Linked DNA regions of Kluyveromyces lactis. Each later gene encodes a partner of the first gene's protein in a complex. Links are inferred from orthologs where the notes say so. Each region holds a gene or a part of one and is shown on either strand. Other genes may lie near its edges. The genes, in order: PSE1 and ULP1.

What was found.
Region 2: the proteins of PSE1 (region 1) and ULP1 are in contact, whole or in part, in a crystal structure (PDB 5H2V), measured with the Saccharomyces cerevisiae proteins. The link is inferred for Kluyveromyces lactis from reciprocal best matches to the Saccharomyces cerevisiae genes PSE1 and ULP1. Residues at the interface, in NP_014039.1 of Saccharomyces cerevisiae: Asp346, Arg349, Gln350, Asp353, Leu357, Ser392, Ser393, Glu396, Cys429, Asn430, Gly433, Gln434, His470, Ala473, Ala474, Val476, Asn477; in NP_015305.1 of Saccharomyces cerevisiae: Gly51, Ile52, Tyr53, Lys54, Lys55.

The regions. Positions count from the first base shown.
Region 1 is NC_006039.1:1,223,313-1,227,683, forward strand, and holds the start of PSE1 (importin PSE1), read right to left. Parts: upstream 3,091-4,371; coding exon 1-3,090. Other genes in the region: KLLA0_C14190g (CBS domain-containing protein), read right to left, coding at 3,737-4,371. UniProt on the Saccharomyces cerevisiae protein: Functions in nuclear protein import as nuclear transport receptor. Serves as receptor for classical and arginine/glycine-rich nuclear localization signals (cNLS and rg-NLS) in cargo substrates.
Region 2 is NC_006042.1:1,013,243-1,016,957, forward strand, and holds ULP1 (SUMO protease ULP1), read left to right. Parts: upstream 1-1,249; coding exon 1,250-2,917; downstream 2,918-3,715. Other genes in the region: KLLA0_F10978g (uncharacterized protein), read right to left, coding at 1-546; MutS family protein MSH4, read right to left, coding at 2,972-3,715. UniProt on the Saccharomyces cerevisiae protein: Protease that catalyzes two essential functions in the SUMO pathway: processing of full-length SMT3 to its mature form and deconjugation of SMT3 from targeted proteins. Has an essential role in the G2/M phase of the cell cycle.

The DNA.
Region 1 (4,371 bases):
TGTGTTACCTTGAATCACAGGCGAATTGTGGTCTATCAATTGTGCCAACATTCTATAATTGAACGCGGCACATTCTTCATCGTGGATAACGGGGAAAGTCTTCAACCAGTTGGCAGTATACTGTTCAAAGTTTGGAATGCTGGAGCCGTAACTGCTCAAGATCTTTGCAATGGCGCAAGATGCATTTTCCGAGGAATTAACGTTATCTTCAGATCTGGATTCTGGCATGTTGACGATTTGGAATAAAGTTTCCAACGATCCCAAACATATGTCAGAGTAGGTGTTGGGGGCATATTGTGCACATACTCCGAGTAGGTATGCAGTACCCTGGCGAATGGAGGGTTCAGGGAATGTGAGGCACTCCTTAATTTTCTGAACGAAATGCTGTTTGAAAGGTGCAGAGTTATCGCCAGTGTATTCTATCATATCAGCAATTGCAATCAAGGCGAACAATAAAATGAATACCTCAGTCTCCTGCAAGTATGAATGTATTATTGGCCATAAAGTCTGGAACTGCTGTAGATAAGAAACACCTGCTGATTTGAAAACAGCAGCTAAAGATTTGTTAATCTCGTCAAGCAAATCTTCATCGGTATACTCATCAAGATCGTCATCAACATCTTCGTTGTATTCGTCATCCTGATCGTAACGGGATTTTGTTCTTTCGTAGACGTCGGTTAAGTTATTGTTCACACCTTGTGTAAATTGTGACAATTGCTCTTGATTTAATCCGTTGTTTCCGACAATTCCCAAACAATCAACAAGAGCATAGTGATACGACTTAGTAACTTCTGGCATCGGTTCAGAAATAATTCCAGAAATTAGCTTATTAGATGCAATTTGCCATAATTGTAAAACGATATCGTTGTCCTGTCCTACAGCCGATACCAAAGAGGTAAACAAAGCAGGAATTAAAGTAGCACCACGAGCTCTAACACCATCATGTAAGTAGAAATCAATAGATGGGACGGCAACTTCTGTAAGGATTTCCTTAACGTATGATGCAAAGAAACTTTTCAACACAGTGGCGTAAACTTGTAGAAGCTCCATAGCAGTCACTTTATCATCTAAAACTGAAGTATGAATAGCGATGTGCTTACCTTGAATTTGCACAACATCCCAATCTGTATACTGTTGGTAGTTTGCAGCTTCCTCTTCTTCAATTAAACTAACGTCCTGGGTAGCCTTGGCAGTTTCAAGTAGTGGCGGAATAACTACATCCAATAACGGAACAAAATCCTCACGAAGAATCCTGCAAACTCTACTCCAACTTTGTTCAAGGTAAGTCTTTAGAGGATCGTCGTCCTGAATACCTTCATTTTGATAAGTTATGAATAACTGGATCAATTCTTGAGAGTAGGAGGCAAACTTTTCTTTGCCCACAGCTAATGCAATAAGAGTAGAACATTCCATACACTTACCCTTCAAGACTCTGCTTTCAGTACCTGTATCGGTTCTCAACACGTTTATCAATAATGGCATTAATGTATCATAGTATTTGATGAATTTCTTTTCGGCTGCTTCTGCGATAAATGCGATAGTAGTTAAGGCCTGTTCTTGAACGTACAGCTTGGAACTTTGCAACATGCTTAATAAGTTAGTTAAAAGACTATCCAAGTAAGGTTCCATAATCGATTGCGTAGCTTGTTCGGAGAAGTTCACCAAGGCAGCCGCTGCATGGGTCTGAACTCTGTCGACAGAGCTTGAAGTGAGCTTAGAGATTAAAGCAGGCAAAATTTTTTCATGCGAAGTGCTTTGAATGAGAGGAGCGAAATCAGTGGATATCTGACCCAATACATTACAGCAACCGTATTGAACTCTTGGATGTGGATCATCGATCAGTGGAACAACCATTTCCAAAATCTTATCTATCTCGATCATTAATACATCACGGCAACCTTCTGCAGCAGATGATAACGCCATCAATGCTGCGAACCTCTCTCTCCATTCAGAAGATGTGATCATTTGTTGTAAGAATTGGAATAAAGGTGCGGCCAAGTATTTTCCGTTTAATTTCAAGGCAACACGATCCAAAGCTTGACGTGCCATATCGTAGGTATTTTCCTCATTATCTTCTTCTACATCATTCGAATTTTGCCATTCGATTGCTTGGTCATCATCGATGGAAACTTCAGTCATCATGACAAGGGTATCAAGTACCACTGATTGGGCGTAATTTTGATTATTTTTACACATCTGAGGGGCGCATTCACTGAAGACAGTTAACAACTCCAAAGCAGTCGTTCTGGCACTCGGTTCTAAATCTTTATTCTTGATGACCATATCTGCAAATTGGATAATTTGATCGAACATATCTTTGAAGAGTTTAGGAGCCAACTCAACTAATTCGATCAATGATTCGAATACGGCGGCCAAGGCCTCATCTTTACTGTCATCCAAAAACTTTGGCAAACTGTTCAAAAGACTTGGTAATAGAACACCTAGTTTGGCCCAGTTATTCTTTGGAAGCTGTTTGAAGTACCCAACAAACGCTGTAACAGCTGCAATCTTGACTTCATCGCTAGGATCCGTGAATCCACTCTCAAAGATAGGCAAAGCATGGTTGATGTCAATGGAATTGATTAGATGAGGCATACTTGAGAAAATTCTGAAACTAGATTCTCTGAAATTTGGATCTGTGTTTTTGATAGCTTCGAATAACGTTTGGAGTAACGGAGGCCACTCAGGTAATTCTTCTAACGCACATTCTGCAATTGCATCAGATAATTTGTGTCTAATATTGTTGGGTCTTTGGGAGATAAAACCCTTCAAAAGTGTATCTCTAATTTGCTTCAAGGCTTCCTTCGAAATATGGGTAATATTTTTGGCAATGATTATAGTCTTAGATGAAGGTGGCGCTCTCAAAGCTAGCTTACGGAACAAAACTGCAGACAAACCTGCAGTAGTCAAATCATCAGAATATGCAGATTGTTCCGCTAGAAACATCAACAAAACTTCGATGTGCTCCGGTGTAATCCAGTTGTTATTCAAAGCATCTTCTGCCGCCGAACGAATCGCATTGTCTGGTGATGCAAAGCCCTGTAGCAACTTCACCAAGGTGCTGTTCACTTCATCCGGTAGAACTGACATTGTTTCGAATCAGCCACCACAAAAAATGATTCAAAGGAAAAGGATAGTAGAAGAACAAAGAACAAACAAAGTAAACTATACTGCTATCAGCTTTTCGATTCTCTCCCTCAATAGAGATTATTGCTTACAAGCTCAATTTTCCTACCGTCAAAATATACTGATTGCAACGAAGGCGAACTTATGTTCAATGCTAAAACTTCAGCAAAAACCAGTAACTGTAACATAAAATGTACTACTATTCAATTTTCAATATATCTGAAATATCTGATCTTAGAACGAATTGTTCTTTCATGTATAATTTGGAATCACAGGAACAGAGAAGGAAGAAAAATTTGGCAGGTCAAACTAATAGTGCATCGTCCATAGTGATATGCGGGTAACACATAGTGGTGCTCTCTGTAATATCAAGATCGTCGTCATCTGTCATTGGACAGTGTTCTTAATATAGCAGAAGAAGGAAACGGTTAATTGATGTGAATATATTTCCATATTTGCTTTGTATTTCTGATAGATGTTCTAGTGCTTCTTTTCTTTTTTCTTGGCAGCCAATTGTTTATTCATTTAATAAGAAAGAATTATGAGTGGAAATGTATAATCTATATACATCGGTATATGGCAAGGATAACCAGTAACTTCCCCGAATGTTTCATTTTAAAGCTTTTCCCACCATAAAACCAGCGAAGAAGACTATACATGCCTGCATGTATATCTTCAATGAGGAAGTATGAAACACTGCGGTGAATGGAGTTGCCATCGTTTTAAAAAACTGACGTAGGTGGTGGAAAACACCTGACTGCTTATCATGCAGAATAAAAAGCAAAGGCATATAGTGACGGGAGCCCTGCATAACAATGAACTCGTCATAAATTTGATGCAATTTTTCATTAGTTTTTATCTCGATATCCATGTACTCAATGGAGTACGGTGATTCGATTCCATAAGTTTCTTTCACTTTGGCTACAATCTCATTTAAGACGTCTTTTTCAAAGTTTACTCCGGACTGAGTCTTGAATTTCATAGAGCCTAGAACTTGATTATCCTTATTAGGCTTCACGACGGTAACTTTCAATCGGAATTTGGTATGTTTTCCATTTTCGAAGAATTTTTTTTGTAATAATGTGGAGCTTCTTCTTCCAGAAAACTGTTCTGGGATCGGTTGCTGTGATTGTGAAGGATATTGTTGATGTTGTTGTTGCAAATGAAGTTGCGATTGTTGTAACTGTTTGTGGGAGCTAAAGTTACCTATTGTTTGTGTTAAATCTACCAAAGATAATTGACTAG
Region 2 (3,715 bases), on another chromosome or scaffold:
GGGATCAAGCACTTCGATGTACCTCTTCGCGCATTGGTCTTCAGTTCTATTCTCTAAAACGTAGGAAATCTTAAACCATTGCGGACCATGGTGTTCATATGATTTTAAGAGAAGCTCATCCTCCTCTGGTGTCCATTTACCTTTCTTCAATACAGGATCTAAAGAACTAGTCCATCTCTTTTTCACATCCGTCGCTTTCTTATTATCCAATTCGAATTGCTTGGCAAGCTGATCCCAGGGAATTTTTTTGACAACATTACTAGATTGCTGAATTGTTTTAATAGATTTGATACCATCCGGATATCCCAAATTTACTAACGATTCGTTAACCAATTTTCTAAGCAGATCATCTTCTTCTTTGGTCCATATTTTCCTCATCTTTCTTCTAAACGTTTGATACCCTAAAGATTCTGAAACCTCAAGAGCATTGACTGGTTCCTTCTTAACTCTCTTCCTCAAATTGCTCATATGCTCCTCTGACATATCACCCGAATCGTCACTCACACTGCTAGCTACAGTTCCTTTCTCACTCGACGATTCATTCATATTCCAGTCAAAATAGATACTTGATCCAAGATACTGATTTCTTGATAGAAAAGTCAAAAAATTAGACTGAAATCAAGTTTATTAATTAACACCAATTTTACTACTTCTCAACCAATGTTTTTGAGATTGTTCAAAACTTTATAGCAAGTGTATCTCGATATTTCCGTTATGACTGTTAGTACAATCAATAGATGACGATAACGATAAACTTCTTTTTGTTTCTGTTAATGATATTTTGGGTTGAAAACCAAGTTGTAATTTAATACAGCTCTGAAACTGTCTACACAGCCTTGTATCTGCTGTGATATAGGCGCTGTATTCACCGTTTTCACTTCGCTTGATAGATACCCTGAGAGATACTCTACATAGTTATGATGTCAAATTTGAGTAATCTTAGTCTGGCAAATTTCTTTATTTTCTTTTTCAGGCAGAAGGGCCCTGGCAGAAATTTTGTGCACGTGATAGTATCCGGGTAATGTTTAAATAAGTATACATTTCTCAACATGGATTGCATCTCTGTCGAAAAGCTGCTTTCAATTATCAACAATAATAACTTCAGGAACGAAGAAACGAGGTAATATATGGTAACTTACAGGCTACATGGCAGCTGAAATACTAGTTTTGAGTGTTAGTTTAATTATTGTAACCGAATCATTTGTTAAATTCTAACTTTCACCACTTATATGAAACTGGCGTAGAAATAATGACGGTATCGTATCATCGAAAAGGGTTTGATGACATTAGTGATTATTCCAGATCAACGGTGATAACTGCAGATGTCTCTTCTAAACCATACTATTTCGACCGGAAAGGTATCAAAGATAGTTTAAATTCTGGTAATGAAGCACGTGATAGAGGTAGCGAAAGTAGGTGGAAATCGTTGGGATATAATACTGTCCTTTCAACTCTTTTTGATTCAGCAAAGACATGGTTTTCCTGGATTGATCCTTTGGAGCAAGAAAATGGGAAAGATCGTACCATTTCCAACACTACTGGAGCAAATTACGACAGTTTGAAAAGAGGAGTTGATGAGGAGTCGACTCCGAGAAAGAAAATTCATTTAGACTCACTGCTCCAAGAGAAGGAGCATTTAAGGGAACAGTTACAACATTCAATTACTCCAACGAAAGAAGTGTTGAAGTTACCTAAGGATCCTTTCCATTGGGATAATACTAATGAAGAAAACTATACAGAATCCTCACCTACAAGAGTACAATATGGAACTAGACTCTATAGAAAACTCAAGCATAAGAACCAGCAACAGCAGTCCACTGCATTAATTGCTAAACCGTCCGATGAAGTATCATATTTAAAAAATTTATTCAACGGAGAATATCATGTACCGATTGAGATGCAAAAGGAAAGGGAAAATCAGCTCAAACTTCTTTCAAGAGATAACAGCCACAGCAGCAATGCCAGTACAAACAGTAGTAATAACAACATTGTAAGGCTTACAGAAAGGATTAAGGCTTTAATTTTGGAAAACAGGAAATCAATAGGCCCAAGTACCGAAAGAGGATCTACAACTGATGACATAGTCATAATAAGAGAGCACAAGCTTGATCCATTAGAAGAGAAAAGGAAACAGATCTACAATCAGACGTTGAAATTTGATCGTTCTCTCCTTACTTTTGAAGAAGAGTTCAAAAGCTATTCTCAGTTGATTGAAGAAAGAAGGAAACTAGTAGAGCAAGTGAGGAAAACCGCCAAACCACAAAAACTGATACCTGATCTATCAACTGAAGATTTATCGGAAGTGAAAGCAACTTTCAATAGGTCTGATAACGCTGTTCTTTCATCCAAGTATATGTTGGAAGTAACTGTGCGAGATTTCAAGACATTAGCCCCTAGAAGGTGGTTGAATGACACAATCATTGAGTTTTTCATGAAGTATATCGAACAAAACACTGCCAAAACTGTTGCATTTAACTCATTTTTTTATTCTACTTTAGCTGACAGAGGCTATCAAGGTGTAAGAAGATGGATGAAAAGAAAGAAGGTTGATATTTTAGATCTTAATAAGATCTTCGTTCCTATCAATTTGAATGATTCTCATTGGACATTGGGTATAATAGAAATGAAGCAACACAAAATTTATTATCTTGATTCTCTTTCTTCTGGAATGAATTCGGTCAGTTTCCTAATTATGAAAAATCTCCAGTCTTATGTGATGGAAGAAAGCAAACAAAAGCTTGGTGAGGATTTCGAACTTTGCCATATTGCTTGTCCACAGCAGCCAAACGGATTTGACTGCGGCATATATGTTTGTCTGAATACACTTTATATGAGCAAGGATTACACTTTGAGCTTTGATTCTAAAGATGCAGCAAACATGAGAAATTACATAGGTCATTTAATATTAAGTAAATAGAATTAAACTCTTTTCGTTGACGAATACTAAAATTTGCTATTCTTACCACTTGTTTCAGACTATTTCAAACGTTGAAATGAAATCATCTTGTAGACTTCGCAACTCTTCAATGTCAATTGTTTTTTCATGATTACAAAACGCTTTGAGTTTTTGTACTAAATAATAAACCTGTTTGATTTGGGTAGTTTGACATGCATTATCACAAGAATCTTCCTTTGCAATGATTTTCAAACCTTTTCTTTTGCTAGCTCGAAGTAATTCCGATATTTTGTATGCTTCCAACATAATTCTTTCACTGAAAATTCGTTTACAAATCATCATACCGTATCCTTCTATCTCTTCTGATTCTGTGGAGGCTTTATATTTCATTTTGAGATGTGATTCCTGATCAATCTCAGTTTTCATCTCAAGATGTAAAACACGAGGCTTTGGTGCCAATATTTTAGGAATATCTCTGAAATGTGTCGATAGAAATACAGTAGCATTTTTGGAAAGGAGATATTCCGATATAGCCAAAGCTATAGAGAACCCATCTGCGATGCTTGAGCCACGTCCTAATTCATCTAGGATCATAAGAGTCTTATCTGTTATATCATCAATGAAATATGCCATGTCTTTCATTTCTGCTGAGAAAGTGGATGAATACGCCTCTATGTCATCATTACAGACACGGGCATGAAGCTTCTGATATAGGGGGAAAGATGCAGAAGTACAGGGCACAGGGCATCCTATCTGCGCCAAAATTGTAAGCATAGCAACTTGTTTCAAGTATATTGATTTTCCGCTCATGTTACAACC